4 linked regions of the Canis lupus familiaris genome follow. The protein of the gene in region 3 interacts with the protein of the main gene of each other region in a biochemical or structural test. Links are inferred from orthologs where the notes say so. Each region holds a gene or a part of one and is shown on either strand. Other genes may lie near its edges.

Region 1 (4,835 bases), on a different chromosome or scaffold from region 3:
ACCTATTATTTACCAACAATCAGTAATTATTTTCTAGAAATACAGTAAATTGAAGTAGCAATAAAATTTTCCCTGTAGTAATAAAACTTTAAAAACTATAAAAATATATACAAAGTTATCACTAGGAAAAAAAAAAAAGATTGTTTAATTCAATAGTGTGCTTCTCACCTATCTTCATAAGAAAACAAAGCAAATGAAGAAAAATACTTTCATCTCCAAAGAAAACAGAAACAGAATGTAAGCAAAAAAAAAAAAATTGTTTGTCTTCCAAGCAGGGTTATTACATATAGAGCAACGCCTTAAGGAAAGTTACAAAAGAATCCACTGTTAAGTGTATCTTTTGAAAACTCCTTTAGGAACATAGGTCTGGTGCAAGGTTGTTTTGGATCTTTATATTTCCTATCCTAATTACTCCAAAAATAAATGAAACATTTACTGAGCATCTACTATGTACAAGATACTTTAGTGGGATTAAATTTAACACATTAAAGTTGTATATCCTACCAATTAGGTAATTTTCAATGTTAGACTTGCCACTAGGGGGAGTGTAATAAATTCAATTGAAGATGGACTGGAAGAGCTTCAGGTTAAAGTTATCACCTACTTGGTTCCAAGATGCTGTGGAATTGTGTATTAAAATGACTGTCTTAGTAACAATCCTATAATTACAACATATTTTTTCTTTAAAATAAAATGACTCTCACTTAAGGGATCAAAGTTAAATAGATCTCAATAGCATTTTCAGCTCAGACTAGATGTATTTTTCTGACAACACTGTCATATTTTAGACCTCATTAGCTAAGAAATAGTAACCAAAAATTCAACTTAAATTTAACATTGGGTTTAACAGCCACATTCCTAAAATGAACTTTGATTAACTGCATTATAAAGTAAACCATTTTTTTCATTCAGGCAAAAATAACTTATAATCGATTTTATATGATTCTGTATGTGAATGCCAGTACTAGGCTTTTCTTAGGGAGCAATGTAGTGACATTTTAAGGTATTTATATGACTAGCAGTAAGGCATGGTGCTCAACAAAGACTAAGGTGAAAGTGGAAAATGCTTTAATTATACTGTATTATGAGATTATTAAATACAAGTATATTAAAAAGTTTTAGAAGTATATTAAAACACTAAGATGAAATAATGAAAGGTACATCTTACATTAAAAAAAATACGTTTAAAGGGAAGATCTTTAATAAAATGTTAATTAGAACCAAAGTTGCTACACTTTATAATGAATACAGTATTAAGGCTTTTGATTTTGTTTTTTAAATCAGCCTTTCTTACAACAATGACTAAAACCTAAAAATTCATCAGGGATATGTTCAAGTTTTCTAACCATACAGATAAAACCCATGATATCTCTATTTTATATTATATTAGGTGTATTAGGATATTAATAAATACATGAAGAGGCATTTGGGATGCCTCTCAATTTTAAATAAGGATGAGGGTAAGTTAGGCAAATACATTTTTATATAAGATGCCACTCTACAAAATATGTATCACAGAACTGCCAAGACAGAAAACTGCTGACTAGGCATTATGCCTAATGTCAGCCACACTGCAGGATAAGACTTCCAAATTTTAATCAGTGTATTTAGAGGTTAACATTCTCTGTTAATGCCAAGTCTAAATCCGAAGAACTATAATAACGGAAATTCTAAAAGGAAATTAAAACTCCAGAATAATGAAACATAACGAAAATAACGAAAAATCCAGTTACTGGCTCCAAACACAAATTTTAAACTTATTTTTCTGACCTGCATTAATGACCTAAATTAAAGTCTTAAGCAAAATGCACACTTCTGACTTGCGTTGAGTAAACGTTTGTGTTCTTAAAATGGTTTATGAAAATTTGAAAAACGTCAAGTAACTCAAACATCATCATTAGTAATAAACACATGAATACAGCCAACACGCAGCAGTCAATCTGTGTCAAGCACAGATTTTTTTTTCTTGAAACATTATTTTATTTACCATCTCACACAAATAAATACCTCACCAAAACAAAATACCTAAGTTTCTAATCACTATTAGAACTGATGAAACTTTGAAGGGGGGGGGGGGGAGGTAATTAGAGAAAGATACTAAGAATGCAAACGTCTGTTTCAATAATTCCACCTCTAAATCTTTCAATTTCCAGACCCTAAAACCGTCTCAAAAGTGTAAGAAAGTTCCCCCCAACGGGGTGGCTGAACATGCAAATCCTCCGTTGTCTCCTGTCCACGACATTCACTCGTCTCTGCTACCACCTCTATGTGTTTTACGGATATGATCACGTTGAGCGCTACAAAATTACTGCCAAATAAGTAAATAAGAGCGCACCAAAAAGCCGGTTGCAAGGACCAAAAAGTACCTTCACAGGAACTGAGAGCCTTTCTTGCAGACGGCACGTGTTCAGCTCTTTAAAACATCTGGCCCTACCAGGAATGAGGATAATAACCGTCCTTTAACCTAACCCATGAGGATATTAAAAGGGGAAGGGGATTTCAAGGCGGTTTTATGTTAACTAATCCACGAGCCCCACAGGGCAGGCTAGACCTGTCAACAAATTAGGAGCAGAAAAAAAAAAGAGAAAAAAAAAAAAAAAAAAACACAGAACAGAGGTGCAGATGGGTGGGGGTGCGAGAGGGTGTGCGCGCGCCACGGATTGCGGGTGGGGGGCGCAATTTTTAAAATGCAATGATTAAAAACGGAAAAACCAAAGGCCTGGGTGTCTCCACCCGCCTCCAAGTCTCGGTTCCAGAGACGGCGTCGGGGACGAGCCTGAGCTCTGGACGGCGAAGATCGGGGGCGGGGTGGGGCCGCCTCCCGCACCCGGGCCGGGGACGCGCGCCGGACACTCACGTTTTCTGCACCGGCTTCCGCCGCTTGCGGCTGGCGTAGGTGATGTGGGCGCCGCTGCTGTTCATGGTGCCCGGCGGGCGGCGGCTCCTCCGCGGGAGCGGGCAGGAACCGGGGCGCCTGCCGCGGCCGGCGCCGGGCTCCACGCAGTGCCGCCCGCTCCACCTGCGTCCCCCCGGGCGGTGGCGAAGGCGCCGGGCCCCGGAAGCCCCGCGCGTCCAGGTGCGCTGCGCGGGTCCGCTGCCGAGGGGCGAGGGGCGAGGGGCGGAGACCCGCGGGCCCAGAGGCGCAGGTGCCTTCTACATCGGCGGAGGCGGAGGCGGCGCGGCGCTGTCCGCAGGTGAGGCGGCCCGGCCGGGGGAGGAGCCTGGGCCGCCTGCTTGGAATCCTGGCCCGGGTCGCGAGCTGCGGCGCCGCGCCCCGCGACCGTCGCCGCGGCCCCCTGGGGAAGGGAGGCGCCGCCGCGCTGCTCCTGGGGCTTCCCCTGTCCCTATCCCGGTGCTTCCCGCCTGCGGAACGCGGACTCCGGCCGCGGTCCGGGGCCACAAGCTTCCGCTCGGCTACGCGGCTGCCCCCGCTCTGAGCCAGTGGTCCCGGCCACGTTCTCGGGACCGGGCGTCGAGCGGACTCTCCCCGCGCTACCTCTCGCCGCGGCGCACACCGGCTCCACGGCAGCAGCGCCCCCGACCCGTCTCCGGCTCCGCCCAGCTTGCCGTAGCCCCGCCCTGTCCCGCTTGGCCCCGCCCCTCCACCCCAGTCCCTCGAGGGCCCCACCCTCCTTGTACGTGGTGACGTAAGGCGCAACGACGCCCCCCCCACCACCACCCCCGTAGCCATCTTCTTGAGGTCAAGGGGAGGATTCTGTGGAAACCTTTCCAGTCCAGAAAAGAGGTGTGACAACTGATTACGTAGGAGCCGAACTCTGTAGCTAGAGTAGCTCAAGGACAGACTTGCCAAGTACTGAGCGTAACTTCACCTCTGTGAGGGTGACTCAGCGAACTTTGACTAAGAATTACAGCGAGCTGGCCGATAACCAGTGGGACTCTGCATATTTTCCTAGAGGGGAAGGCTTCGTTCCGGAGGCTCCGTATGAGTTGAACTTGAAGCCTAAGAGTTTGCTTGGCCTTTTTTTTTTTTTTTTTGTCTCCACGCTAGACAATACAATATCTTTTTCCCCAGCCAGAATAACTTGGTTATTTTATCGTCAGAATAACTTGGTTATTTTATAGTCCATGGGATGGAAAGGGAGCAAGGAAGAAGGAAATCACGGAGCATTTGGAGATAATAAATCTGTTAGGATTGGAGAGAGGAGCTGAAAGTGAAGTTCAGGAATTCTAGAATCAGATCACAGAGCCTTGATGAAGAGTCTAGAGTTTATCCTGTAGTCAGTGGAAGCCTTTTTTTTAAAAAAATATATTTTTTAAGTCTTTATTTATTCATAGAGATGCAGAGAGAGAGAGAGAGGCAGAGACATAGGCAGAGGGAGAAGCAGGCTCCATGCAGGGAGCCCGATGTGGGACTCGATCCCAGGACTCCAGGATCATGCCCTGGGCCGCAGGCGGCGCTAAACCGCTGCGCCACCGGGGCTGCCGCAGTGGAAGCCTTTAAAAGATATTCAGCAGGAAAAGTGCCATTGCGGTTCTCAGAAAAGTCACTCTGGGAGGAAAGTGCAAACTGGATTACAGGAGGGCAAGCCTGCATGCAGGGGGAGTATTAGAGAGTTGTTGAAATAGTCCAGGTGAAAGTCCAGGAAAGTGGCAGTAGGACAGAGAAGAAAGAACAAACATGATGATGGAGAGGGGTCAGGGGATGAAAAGACCTCGATCTCAAATGGCTCCAAGATTTCTGACTCTTTCTGTGCTGGTAACCAGGATATTGAACACAGACAGAGAAGTTCTGTTTCCTTGCTGGGAACAGAAGGGCATCCAGGCTAAGATGTCTGGATGATATCTCTCACCGTATCCTACATTCCTACATTTTG
Region 2 (4,770 bases), on a different chromosome or scaffold from region 3:
TGTGGGATCCCTGGGTGGCGCAGCGGTTTGGCGCCTGCCTTTGGCCCAGGGCACAATCCTGGAGACCCGGGATCGAATCCCACGTCGGGCTCCCGATGCATGGAGCCTGCTTCTCCCTCTGCCTGTGTCTCTGCCTCTCTCTCTCTCTCTCTCTCTCTCTCTGTGTGTGTGTGACTATCATAAATAAATAAATAATAAATAATAATAATAAAATAAAAATAAAATAGAATAAAAAAAAGATGTGTCAGGGGCGCCTGGGTGGCTCAGTCAGTTGAGTCACCAACTCTTGGTTTCGGCTCAGGTCATGATCTCAAGGGTCGTGAGATGGAGCCCCGGCGTGGGGCTCCACGCTCAGTGTGGGGGTCTGTGTCTCTCCTTCTCCCTCTGCTCCTCCCCCTGTGCTCTCTCTCTTTCTTGACTCTCTCTAAAATAATCTTTTATTTTTTTTGAGATTTTTTTGACTTATTTGACAGAGAGAGCACAAGCAGCTGGAGTGGCAGGCAGAGGGAGGAGAGGGAGAAGCAGACTCCCTGCTGAGCAGGGAGCTCCATCCCAGGACCTCGGGATCATGACCTGAGTCGAAGGCAGAAGCTTCTCTGACTGAGCCACCCAGGTGCCCCTGAAATAAATAAATCTTTTTTTAAAATGTGTTAAGTGGCACAAGAGAAAGATACACTGGGTTTTAGATATAGTTGACTTCAGTTATCCAGAAAATCCCTCCCCCCAAGCCAGGTAAGTGAGGTGTCATACGATGGGCCTGCTTCCTCAAATGGAGGGGTGTGGTGCGGGCTCTCAACACTGATTGCCCCATGGCCCTCAGTGCCTATTGCCAACCCCCAGGACCAATGCCTATGAGGTAAATTGTCCAAGGATAGAGACTTCTTCCCTTTTCCCCAATGCCTGGACCAGTGCCTGGCATCTAGTGTGCACTAAGTAAATGTGAGATGAGTGAAGGAATGCACAAAGAATGATGTCCTTCCGTCATGTAACAGAGGGGTGCAGGGCAGAGCAATCTGGGCAAAGTCCCTTGCCCTCTGCCCTGCCCTATCCTGGCCTAGCTACCCATTTGGCCCCACCTGCAACCACTATAGGCAGCCACCTGGCCCTGGAGGCAGCCTCAGCCCAGCTTCCACTTTCCCAGCCATCCACTGGGAATATCAGCAGCCCCCAGCAGATGGTGACATTCAGAGCAGCCAATGTGAATGCACTCGGGAGGTATTCAGTCAGCTCACCTGCTTGCCTTCCATTCCCTTCTTTCTCTCATCACCTTCTGGAAGAGTAAAAAAGATCAAGCCAAAGCAGAGGAGCCACCTGATCAAGTCATCCATGCCCCTGCCTCCATTCCAGCCCGACCTAACTCCACTCCCATGTCTGGGCCAGGCTGGACCCCGCCAGGCCAGACTCAGGGAGGTAGCCATCCAAGGGGAGAGAGGCCAGGCTGCAGGCCTGGTGGGGGAGCTGCCCATAAATCAGGCCCCACTCCCACCCAGTCACTAACAAGCGGGGCTGCCTAACCGCCTACATGGGGTCCCTGCCTCTGGGCTCCCACAGCGGCCTGGAACAGCCAGCTGGCCAAGGCCTCCAGAGTGCCTTGGCCTCCACCCCCACCGAGGCCCCCAGATAGATAGGGGTATTTTTTTTTTTCTTTTAGGAGAAGAAAAAAATAGACCTAAATGAAGAGAAACACCAACAAAGAAGGAGAGAGGCCCGCAGAGTCACGTGGGGGCAGAGACCAATTGGGCCTCCGGTGGCCGCCCCCCCCAGGGCGGGGAGGAGGAGGACGGCCGGACAGGGCCAGCCTACTGTCCGCCTGCCGCCCGCCGTGGCGTGAAGGAGCTCCTGTGTGCCCACGGTCACCACTGCCCCACCTGGGCTGCCGGAGCTTTCCCCCGGATCCCTGGTGCCCACTGTCCACCCTCATCCGGCGTGAGAGCTCTCCTTCCGCTCCGTAAGTGAGGGCCTGGGCCCAGGCCTCTAATGGCCAGCCTCCCTCCTCAGTGCCTCCCTGCGGCCTGGGCCGGCCGCTGCCCGCTCTGAGTGACTAGTGCCCGCTGCTCTGGGCAGGGAAGGGGCCAGCGATTGCCCCCGACCTACCCTCTCATCATGCTACCCCCTCTTCCCTGGACAGCTGACTGGGAGGAGCTAGGCCTCTGGGGACAGGCCCCATGGGCTCTGCGGTGTCCTGCTGTCTAGGGGCGGCCAAGTGTTCGCAGCACTGTGTTGGCCCGAGCCTGGCAGTCTGTGAATGTGTCCATGGTCCCTGGGCCTGTCTTTGGGGCCTCTCAGGCTCCCCGCCTGTGTGTCTGTGTTGCCTCCTCGGATTTGTATGGATTTGTATGGGTTTGTGTGTCTGTCCCTGATGTCCTTCTGTCAGTCCTCATTCTGTGGCTGGTGCAGATCGATGTTTGCTTCCCTGGGCATGTGGGTGGGGGTGGGTGCAATGGAGCCTGGGTCAGCCTCAGAGCACCCAACCTGGGATAGTGTAGCCTCTGGAGAAGGAGGGGGTAAGATGGAAGTGGGGGGGGGGATCCGGCTCCGAGCCCAGCCCCCTAGACCACCTGGAGTCCCAGCCACACTCCTGCTTACATCGCCTGAGTCTTCCTGTACCATGTCTGGTACACTCCAGCCCTCCTCCTCCAGCCCCTTCACTCCCCTACAGAGGTGGTGCTGCTCCCGTTTCCCACCTTCTGCGGGCCCCTCCCAGATGGAGAGCTGTTCACAAGCAGCACTAGCCCCCCACCTCCAGCTCCTGCAAAGGCTAGTGTTTCTGAGGGCTCGGATGTCGGGAGTCCTCCGCTAAGCTGGACTCGGCTCTCTCCTTTCTCACCAAAATTCGTCCACAGCATCTCACGGAAACTGCAGACTCCCCTCGGTAGGGCTGAACTTTTCCATTTTACGTGCAGACCAACTGAGGCACAGAGAAGGGATGCCACTGGCCCGCCTGCGCAGCGAGCCGGCTGCCTATTCCATCCTTTGTTCCGCCGGGTGTGAGACAGCAGGGGGGTCTGCGGGGTCTCCAGCCTCGGCAGGCGGGAGCGAGGTGCCAACCCAGGCCGCTGGCGGGGGAGGCTCCGGCTGGGGGAGGCTCGGGTCGGGGCCCAGGCCAGGTCCGGAGCCTTCAGATCCGTAGCGGTAGCGGCGCTGCGGGTGCCTAACCGCGGGCCCCACCCCCACCCCCACCCGGCCCCACCCCGCCCCGCCCCGCCCCGCCCCACCCCACGGTGAGGACCCTGCCTTTCTGGCCCCGCGGGTCTCAGTACCGTTCTTCGCGGAGGGGCGGGGGCAAGGCGAGAGCGGGCCCCTTTCTCTCGTCTCAATTTTTTCACCTGAAAAGTGAGAGTGACCAGGTCCAGTCTCCCCCCCGCCCCCCCAGAGCAATTGCTGGGCCTGTCCCAGCCAGGGGTCCCCTTTGTCCCGGGGATGCCGGACTCTCCCTCCCCCTCCCCCAGCCCGGGTAAGGGCTCAGCACGTGATGGGGGGAGGGGTTCCTCTGGTCTCCCGGCTCCCGCGCCCTTGATGGCTTCAGGTCCTCGCCCAACCTCGGAGGATCCCCATTTCCGGCCAAGCAAACTGAGGCCTGCGGTGGAGGAAGGGTCCGGCCCAGGTCTCCCCGCTGGGTGCTGCTGGTCGCTCTCGCAGCGCTGAGGCACGCGCTTCGCCGGCGCCACGTCGGTTCCTCCGGTGCCCGTTCCCGGGGAGGCCCATTCATCATCACCACTTCGCAGATGAGCAGACTGAGGGTCAGTGTGTGCGTGCGCGCGTGTGCGCGTGTGTGCATGTGTGTGTGCGGCGTGTGCGCGCGTGTACATTTGCTTGAGTCTCCCGTGAGGAGACGCGGCAGGGCCAGTGGCTCACCTGGCTCCTGGCCTCGACCCCGTGCCTCGGCCACGGACCCCCACGTCCGCCCTCGCCCGCTTCCGCGCGGCACAACGACCAGCGCCCCCGGCGCGGCCCCTGCCACCGCGGGGCTGGACCAGCAGGCGGAGGCTCGAGGCTCCCGGGCGCCCGGCTCCCGCCCGGGCTCCGAGGCGCTCGGGCTGGGCGCGGGGGGCCGCGAGGGCGGCGGCGGAGGCGCTCGGCGGGCTCGGGGGCGGGCGCGGGCGCGGGCGCGGGCGTGGTTGCGGGCGTGGGCCGGCCTCCGCCCCCGGACACCGCACGCGCTGATATAGGGGGGCCGGCTCCTGGCCCCTGCGAGGCGGGTCCGCGCAGCGCGCGTCGGCGGCGGAGGGCCCGGGCCCCAGGTGCGCCTCGCTGCGGCCCCGGAGGCGGCGGGGGGGGCCGGGGGCCGGGGGCCGGGGGGGGCTGCGGGCCCCGCGCCCCCGCCTCCCCGCCCCGGGCCCGGTCGGCCGTCATCGCGGGCAGGCGGCGCTGCGCCCGGGTGCGGCTCAGCGGCGGCGGCGCGGGGGGCGCGGGGCTCGGGCGGGCGGGACGCGGCAGGTGGGCGCCGGGAGGGCCGCGGCCGCCGTCGCCGTCGCCGCGGCCGTCGCGCCCCTTCTGGCCTCCGGGGTTCCGGGGCCCCGGCTCCGCGCGCCTCCCCGCCCGGGGCCTGCGCTCCCCGCCCGAGGTCGGCCCCGCGGGGACCCGCCCGAGCTCTCCGCGGCCGCACCGCGCGCGCCTCGGCCCGACGCCGGGGGTCGGTGGCTCCGGCTGCGCCTCTCGGTGCCGTCGCTGCGGCGGCCTTTGTCTCCGGCGCGGGGCCCCGGCGGGTCGGAGCGTGCGGCCCGGTCCGGCTGCTCCCCGCCCGCAGGTCCGCCTCCCGGTCGTCCGTCT
Region 3 (3,825 bases):
GGGAAAATATAGGCATCAAGTAGTTTGGTTTTTTGTTTGTTTGTTTTTTACAGTCCTGTGTTCTGAGAAAAGTCATAAGCAATGGTTCTCAAACTTGAGTGTGCAGAAGAAACATCTAGGAAGTGTGTTAAGATGCAGCTGGGAGATTCCCAGGTCCACTTAGCAGAGATTCTTGATCTGTAGATCTGAGATGCTGCCTAGGAATCTGCATTTTAAAACAAGTGCTCCAGATGATTCTAATGCAGGTGGTCTGAGTCCAGCTTTTAAGAAACCCTGGTCGTAAGACTCACAGGTACCACAGAAATGGTGAGAAGTAACTTTTACAAGAGATGGTGAAAATTGTCCAAAGAAAAGCCATTTTGCTTCTGTTAAAAACAACTTCTTAAATAGTCAACTATTCAGGAAACCACCTGAAGGTAAATGGTTAACTTTCCTAATTCTGTAAAAGGAGGAATATTAATTTAGTAAAGTAGCTAAAATACAAAAATGGAAATCTGCCTTTTTTTAAGGATCTATCAAACTTCCATCAATTGTAATCAATTTTTACTAAGTAGTACAAGGTTTAAAGAAATACATATTGAAAAGGACTGGGGTGGGGCAGACACATTGGGAACCACAAAACCCCTTCCAAGAGTTAAAAATAAATACGTCTTCTTCTTCTTCTTCTTTTTTTTTTTTTTTTAGCAAAAGTGAAAAATGTAAGCCTATTTTTTCTAATTTATTTCTGAATCGGATAATGAGAAGTGAATTAGGTTCTTTTTTTTAATTCAACGATTAATATTTAAAGAGTCATTGAACAATTTGGATTTAAAAACAAATGTGTTATGTAGGCCGACGTCTGAAAAGCAAAATAAAGTACCCTAATAAAGGCAGCAAAATGCATTAATCCACTATGGATGGAGATTTACATTTTAATTTACGCCTATTACTGGATTATAAAAGATTTTTCATTCATAGGCTACTCACAGTTGTTGTTTGGTGCATACAGAGTGTTAAACAACCAATTTGCTAGTTCAGTAGTTTCCTCATGACATCTAACGTAAAGCAAAAAAGTAGTGTGCATATTTAGACATCACCAGCAACCAATACTTCTCGAAATGAAAAAAGTTTCAGTTATACCATGCTTTTCTCAAATCATGCTCTTATTTATACAGGTCGCAAGTTCATACTAAGCAGTTTGCAAAAAAAAAAAAAAAAAAAAAAAAAAAAGAAAAGAAAAGAAAAGACAAGGAAAGAGAAGATCGGGAGCTGGATGGCGGGTACATTTCACTCGGCTTCTTTCTTTATGGCCAGCACGTTTCCCAGCAGTCCGTACCCCTCCCCGTTCGCGCTGTGCGGGCGAGGGGCGCTCCTCCCCGGGGGGCTGCTGTAGGGGCCTCTCAGGCTGAAGCCGGCCGCCCTGGTTTCCGCCGCGGGGAGGAACTCTTCCTTGACCGTGACCTGCGCGACGCTCTCCGCGGAGGAGGGCTCCCCCCACGCGTCCTTGTCCTGCGTGTCCCGGCCGGCGACGGGGCCGCCCCCTTTCTGCAGCATGTAGTAGAGGATGGGGTTGGTTTTGGTCAGCCGCGGGCAGTCCCTCTCGTACCCGTTCCTGTCCGCGTCGGCGATGACCCACTTAATGGGGCCCTTGTCGCCGGCGCCGCCCGCACAGCCGTTCGCTGGCCCCGGCTCCGGCCTGGAGCCCGCGCAGCCCCCGGGCTCGGGGAAGGGGGGGCTGGGCGGGGCGCGCGCCGGGCAGGGGCAGGGGCGGGGGCGGGGGCCGGGGCCGGGGCCCGGGCGGGGGCCGGGGCCCGTCCTGCTGTCCCCGCAGCCGCCGGGCTGCGCGGGGCCGTACAGCAGCCCGTCGAGGGCCGGAATGCTCAGCTCGGGCTTGCCGCCGCCCGCCGCGCCTCGGTGTCCCTTCCTCCTGCCCTCCCCGGCGGAGCCGCTCCTGTGCTGGGACAGATCCCGGACGCAGTTTTCCGACAGGAGCAGCTGCTTGAGGACGTTGAAGCTCTTGCTCTCTCGGGCCCACGCGCGGTGCTCGGCGTCGCCCGCGGGGCCCTGGCTGCCGGGGAATTTGAACTCAAGATCACTTCTGCTGCATTTCAGCTCCTGCTGGCTCAGCGGGGGCCCGTACAGCCCCTCCGGGGCGCCGTGGCTGTCGGCGGCGTCAGCTACGCTGTTCCTCATCCTTTTAAACGGGTTTTCCAAGGGCTCGCTATAAAGCTTCCTCTTCTTGGGGACCACGCAGAGGGTCCTGGCCTCCAGGAGCGCCAGCTCCCCGCTCCTGCGGCTGCCGTCCCCCTCCTCCGCCAGGTAACTCTCCTGGTTCTGCCTCAGCAGCCGACTCAACAGGCCGTTCTTGGAGAAGGAGAAATCCTGCGGTGAAACGGGCTCCGCCTTGAGACCGTCGGGCGCGCTCCTCTGCGCGGGAGGCGCCGCCCCTGGGAACGGGGCGCCCCTGGCGTCGGGGCTCAGGCGCACGCTCGGACTGGGGCTGCGCGGGTCATCGCAGGGCTCGGATTTTATTTTCACCGTCAGTATCTGTTCGCTTAAAGCCCTGTCCGCGTGTTCCTGAGCACTTTCATCTCTCAGAGGAGTCTTGTCTTTCTTGTCGCCCTTCCCTTTGTTGGGGTTCCCCAGGAGCAGCTGGAGGACAGTGCGCCTCTCCAGCAGATTCTCGATCTCGGAGCCAGAAAGTCCCGCCTCGGGGCCTGCCGCTGGACTGCCGAACGCCCTGTTGTCTTCCGCCGCGTTGGTTTTGTTTGAGAGCAGAGGGCTACTCAGCCTCTCCACCATGCCCAGGGGCCGGTCCGCGTTCACGCTCAGCAGCTGCTTGCTAGGCCGCTGCTCCTCTCCCGGGGCGGACGCCTGCACTCCGCACTGAGCCAGGTTCTGCAGCAGCTTGCTGGCACTGAAGGTCGCGGAGTTCTGTGCGCCCTCGCTGTGGGCCGGCTTCTCTCCCAGCGGGTCTTTGCTCTTTGTAAGGTCCATCAGGGGGTTCGACGCGGAGGTCGCTGGCTTTTCAGCCTGGGAGCCGCAGGCGAACGGTGGGGGATTCCACTTGATGACCAGAGAGTGTTGGGAAAGGTTGATGGGAGACTCTGCTTTTGTGGAGGAAAGTAAAGGAGGAGTGCTCACGGGGGTAGTCCTGCTCGTACTGGGGCTCTCTATTACGGAAGTCCTCGCGAAGTTCTGGCTACCGAACTTGGTCACATCGCCGTGTACTTCCTGGGGGCTGCTGTTTCTTTCTACACTTTCTTCATTCTTATGGCCAAGTAGCAACTGAAGAAGAGTCACTTTCTGGTGCGAATTGAGCTTAGAATTCTTTGAGGTATCTTGATCTTCTTTGACGTCTACAGTGGGGACTTTGGGATCCCAAGTGTTTAGCAAGGACTGGGTTAAATTATCAAGAGAAACAGGCTGGTCAGGTTCTGGTTTCTCAATTCGATGTTTGCAAGACAAGTCTATGGGAACACAGTTGGAATAGGAACTTTCGTCACCACTGCTATCATCTGTAAAACTAGGGTTGTTATCCGAGTACTCATCGATGGTTGTAGGGGTACTACTATCCTCAAAGATGCTTCCTCTCTCACTGTGATTATGTCCATTCATCGGCTTTGGTATGGTCTGGCTCTTCAGAAGATGTAAAAGCAAACTATTATTAGCAGCTTGTTTTAGATGGTTTCTTTCCAGTGAGTTCTTATAGCCTGCATTTTTGGGGGAAGAAGGAACAACACCCATCGGGTTCTGAAACGCTGTATTTTTGCTCGCCATTAGCTTGCTCGATGATGTTCTCGCCTGACCATTGAGATGGCTTGACATTCCTTTTGAGAGCTGGAA
Region 4 (4,519 bases), on a different chromosome or scaffold from region 3:
CACAGCCAGCTGGTGGCAGTGAGGCTCCCCTCGGCTGCCGGCTGCCCGTGGTCTGGAGGCCTCCAGGGGGCAGGGTCTGCGTGAGTGCCAGGCACCCCGAGGCCAGCGGCCACACTGACTCCAGCAGGACAGACCCACGCACCACACCGTGTGGTCCCCCAACTCATTGTAAACCAAACAGGCGCCCGCTCCCCCACATGTGCTGCAAAGGCACGTTCTCGTCACCGAGACTCTGCCTCCCACACAGTCCTCTCTCGCGCCCTGACACGTGTCCTGCTCGCTCTGTGATGCTCCAGGATCCCACAAACAAGAACCCTGTCCTCGTGCAGAGAACACTGGTTGGGGACCCAAGGAATGTCACCTCCCTGCCCTCCCGCACGCGACGTTCAGCAGCTGCTGCAGGGCGACCCCATATGGGGACACGTCCTCTAGGGCAGGCCTCGCACATCAGACTCAAGGACTGGCGGCCGGACGAAGCTGCTGTGGGCACCGAGCCTGCCTCCTGACAGGCCAGAGTCCAAGCCTGGGGAGGGTCCAGAAAGCAGCCCCCGCCCCACCCGCTGACCCCCTGGGATTTCTTCTCCAAGGTCCCAGGTTCCAGTCCTGCCAGGTGCCCACCGTCCTCCCAGCCTGTCTATGGCCAGGCTGCAGGGCTGGCAGGGATGTGAGGGACCCCCACCCTGAGGGTGACACAGGCAGAAACAACTCAGCACTAAGAGCGCCTGTGAGCTCTGTGGTTGGGTGGAAAATGCCCCCCCACCCTGCCCCGCCAGGTGTCCTGCAGCTCGTCTGGGCAGACAGGCGAGGGCCCCAGGCCAGCGTGCAGCCCGTGGCTGATCCGCAGTGAGCTCCTGGAGTCCCCTCTGGGAACCCGAGGCAGGTGTATTGTGGACTGCCCCCCGAGCCTGCCATGGGTCCTCCTTCGTGCCCCTGGTCTCAGGAGCCAGGAGTCTTTGAGGAGGCTGTTGTCACAGGATAAAAAGCCTGCACAAGCCTTCGACTGGGTCCTCTGCGCCCAGGAGCCGCGGGCGGCCAGCAGCAAGCTGCACTCCAGCTACTCAGACTGGGCAAGGCCCCAAGGACACTGGCATAGGGCGCTCCAGGGGCAGGCGAGATCGTGGCAGAGAAAGCCCCATCACGGCCCAGCTCTCTGCTCATGACCTGCTGGCCCCTTCCACCGGGCCGCTGGGGAGCCAAGGCCAGGCCACCTCTGAAGCCCAAGGGCCCTTCTCCGGCAGAGGTGCCTCCCCCGCACTAGGGTTCCACCGGCCAACCTCTGACAGCTCACCCGATGGCCCAACCTCGGGTACTAACCACAGAAGGGGCTGCTGCAGCCTCCCAGAGCTCGGGGTCGCAGCCTGCTGTGCCCCCAGCACCCCCGCCCGCGTGTCCTCAAGCTGAAGGGACCGAAAGGGAAACCCCAAATGCAGCCAGGAGAGAGGCTCAAGGGCTGAGACAGGTCACCCCAGCCACGAGTCCATTTCTCAGAAACGCAGAGGGAAGAGCAAGCCGTCCGGGTGGGACAGGCTGGAACTGCACAAACAGCCCCACGGAGGCTGAAGGGTACACGCCTGCGCGCGGCAGACACAGACTAACCCCGAGCGCGTCCCCCCAAGGCCTCGCGGAGGCCCACATGGAAGCACGTGCTCAAAGCCGGTGACCACAAACACCGCGGCGAAAAGAAACCCAGAAAGGCAACGGGGCAGAGCGCCCGGCAGGCAGCGCTGGGAGCCGCAGGAGGGGGCAGACCGCGGGCGGGCGGGCGCGGGCCCGGCACTGCGGCTCACCCTGAGCTCCCGGGCCGCGGGGAAGGCCGAGTGCCCGCGAGCCAGGGGCAGCGCCGGCGGCCGCGGGGGCCCTCGTCCTCACGCGGCATCCTCACCTCGGGCACGCAGAGCCGCGACGCCGGGTCCCCGCAGCCGGGGCGCCCGCACCGCCCGCGGGGTGCGCCCTGCTGGGGCCCAGCTGCTGCCGAGCTCTTCTGCGTGATCCTGCCCCGACGGAACCGCTGCCCGGCGGCTGGGGCGGTCCCGGGAACGCGCGGCGCGGACGCCCCCCGCCTGCCGCCCGACCGTCCCGCTGCCCAGGCGGGCGCCCGTGAGGGCCGGTCCTTGGCCGCTCGTCCGGGCCCGCGCAGCCACCGCCGCGTCGGCCCCGGCTTCCTCCCTGCAGGTGGGCCCGTCACGGCGCCCGCGGAGGCCGAGGGGAGGCCGGCAGGAGGCAGGAGGGCGGCCGGGCAGGCGCTCCCGCGGCGCGGGCTCGGGGACGGCGCGGCTGCAGGGCCGAGCCGGGACCCCCGGGGCCGGCGGCGCTCGGGCGCGGGCAGGTGGCGCGGGCAGGTGGCGCGGCTGCCGGCGGCCGTCCTCGTCCCGGGCGAGCGGGCGCGGGGGCGGGGGCGCCGGGGGCGGGCGCGGCGAGGCCCCGGGGCCCGGGCGGGGCGAGCCCACGCGACCAGGAGGCCGGGCCGGCCCCACGCAGGGCGCACGCGGGCCGGACGCAGGGGGCCGGGCCGGCGGGGGGGCCGTGGGGCCGCCGGGGCCGGACGCCGGGCGCGCCGCGGCTGTGGCGGGGCCTGGCCTGGGGGGTCGGGGGCCGAGCGCGGCGCCCCTTTGTGTCACCTGCGCGGGCGGCGGCGGCGGTGGTGGCGGCGGCGGCGGAGGAGGAGGAGGAGGCGGAGGCGGCGGCGGCGGCGGCGGCGGCGGCAGCGGGCGGGGCGGGCGTGACGGCGGCGCCTGCGCACGCGCACTCGCACGCTGCGGCTCGCGCACGCGCACGGCGCCCCGGCCCCGCCCCCGGCGGCGCGCGGAGGCCGGCGCGCACGCGCACTCGCACACAAAGCCGGGGCCCGCGCGCGCCCGCCCGCCCCGCCCGCCGCCCCGCCCCCGCGGCCGGAAATGCGCGCGCGCGGCCTTACCGAGCGGCAGGCCCTTGTTGAGCAAGTGCGAGCTGCCCATTGAAAGGCGCGGGCGGCCGCGGGCCCCGACGAGTCCGGCGCGCTCCGCCGCGAGCCCGGCGCGTGGGGCGGCCTGGGCGCCGTCCGCTGCTCCGCCCGCTCGCCTGCGCCCGGGCGCCGCCGTGCCGAGCCGCGCCGCGCCGCGCCAGCAGCCGCTCCACCGGGCGGGGACAGGCGGCGCGCGCGCGGGCGGGGCTTCCGGCCCGGCGGCCTCCTGTTTCCAGGCGCGAGCGCCGCGCAGCACCACGCGGGCGGCTGCAGGCCGGGCCCGCCCGCCCCGCCCGGCCCTCCCGCCCGCCGCGCCTGCTCACACCTGCCTGCATCCGCACAGGTCCCGCCCCGCACCCCCGCGCGCGCACGCACGCACCTGCCCCGCAGCCCCCGGACCCCACCTGCCCTGCACCCGCACACGCACCTGCCCCGCAACCACCAGGCCCCACCTGCCCCGCGGGCGCGCTCACACACGCACACTCACCTGCTCGCACCCGCACCTGCCCCGCGCCCACCCACACGCACCTGCCCTGCACCCGCATATGCACCTGCCCCGCACCCACCCGGCCCCATCTGCCCTGCACACACACACACACACACACACACACACACACACACACACGTGCACCTGCTTGGCACTCACCAGGCCCCACCTGTTCCACCTCCGCGCGTACACCTGTCCTGCATCTGCGCACGCGTACACGCCCCCCCAACCTGTCCTACACAGGTACCTGCCTCACACCGGCACAGCCACAGCCATCTACACACTTTCCATGCACACGCATTCGCCAGGCCGCACCTGCCCCCACCCGCATCCTGACAGTGGAGCGTGACCGCACCTACCCCCGCACCTCAGCACGCTCCTAGGCAGGGATCATTTAAATGTTCCGGGGTCACTGCAAGGAAGCACAGCAGGTGTGCCACTGCCGGGCCTTCGGGCTCTGGGCCCCTACAGGGTTGCAGGAGGCCGAGGCAGGCATCCCTGGGAGTTTCCCTGGGCAAACTTGGCCTTATGCTTGGGTTCCTGGGACCCAGGAGGAGGTGCAGCCTGGATGGCAGGCCCCAGGGAGAACCTCCTGATCCTGCAGAGAGCACAGAGGCCAGAAATCGGCATCCAGAAGCCTGAGCAGGGACTTCCTGGGCCGAGGGGTACCTGGGAGGTGGCCAGACGTGGCTGAAGCGGGGTGCCCAGTGCCCCCTGTGAGCAGCCTATAGTTCCAGAGAGGCACCTGCGGGAGGGTCATGAGGGTTCCCCCAGGGTGGGGGCTAGCCAGCCCCCAAGGGTGAGACGATCCGGTGACGGGAAAGGGCCTGAGGCCCACCCTGGGGGACCCTGGTCCTGGGAGCTGGAATGTCCTCAGGTGGCAGTGAGGTTAGACCGTGTATCTGTCCTCTTAGGTAAAAAGCCACAGTAACACACGACGGCTGCACAGCTGGCTCCCTGGGACATGGTGCGCAATCCTGAAATCCTGTTATCAGTCCTGCTGTTGTTTCTAAAATTCATAAACTGGTGACAAAGTGTGGGTGGATTCAATCAAGGGGAATAGCGAACTGGGTATCTATTTGCAAAACAAA

Evidence for each region.
Region 1: the proteins of NRIP1 (region 3) and AHR form a complex in vitro, tested with the Homo sapiens proteins (2 studies listed by BioGRID). The link is inferred for Canis lupus familiaris from reciprocal best matches to the Homo sapiens genes NRIP1 and AHR.
Region 2: the proteins of NRIP1 (region 3) and NR5A1 form a complex in vitro, tested with the Homo sapiens proteins (2 studies listed by BioGRID). The link is inferred for Canis lupus familiaris from reciprocal best matches to the Homo sapiens genes NRIP1 and NR5A1.
Region 4: the proteins of NRIP1 (region 3) and CTBP1 form a complex in vitro, tested with the Homo sapiens proteins (2 studies listed by BioGRID and IntAct). The link is inferred for Canis lupus familiaris from reciprocal best matches to the Homo sapiens genes NRIP1 and CTBP1.

The regions. Positions count from the first base shown.
Region 1 is NC_049235.1:31,790,575-31,795,409, reverse strand, and holds the start of AHR (aryl hydrocarbon receptor), read right to left. Parts: upstream 3,015-4,835; 5' UTR 2,923-3,014; coding exon 2,858-2,922; intron 1-2,857. UniProt on the Homo sapiens protein: Ligand-activated transcription factor that enables cells to adapt to changing conditions by sensing compounds from the environment, diet, microbiome and cellular metabolism, and which plays important roles in development, immunity and cancer.
Region 2 is NC_049230.1:58,543,413-58,548,182, forward strand, and holds the start of NR5A1 (steroidogenic factor 1), read left to right. Parts: upstream 1-1,756; 5' UTR 1,757-1,948; intron 1,949-3,526; 5' UTR 3,527-3,725; coding exon 3,726-3,740; intron 3,741-4,198; exon of another isoform or gene 4,199-4,241; intron 4,242-4,770. UniProt on the Homo sapiens protein: Transcriptional activator. Essential for sexual differentiation and formation of the primary steroidogenic tissues. Binds to the Ad4 site found in the promoter region of steroidogenic P450 genes such as CYP11A, CYP11B and CYP21B.
Region 3 is NC_049252.1:12,286,742-12,290,566, forward strand, and holds part of NRIP1 (nuclear receptor-interacting protein 1), read right to left. Parts: coding exon 1,267-3,825; 3' UTR 1-1,266. UniProt on the Homo sapiens protein: Modulates transcriptional activation by steroid receptors such as NR3C1, NR3C2 and ESR1. Also modulates transcriptional repression by nuclear hormone receptors.
Region 4 is NC_049224.1:91,983,838-91,988,356, reverse strand, and holds the start of CTBP1 (C-terminal-binding protein 1), read right to left. Parts: upstream 3,015-4,519; 5' UTR 2,955-3,014; coding exon 2,915-2,954; intron 2,681-2,914; exon of another isoform or gene 2,619-2,680; intron 2,005-2,618; exon of another isoform or gene 1,883-2,004; intron 1-1,882. UniProt on the Homo sapiens protein: Corepressor targeting diverse transcription regulators such as GLIS2 or BCL6. Has dehydrogenase activity. Involved in controlling the equilibrium between tubular and stacked structures in the Golgi complex.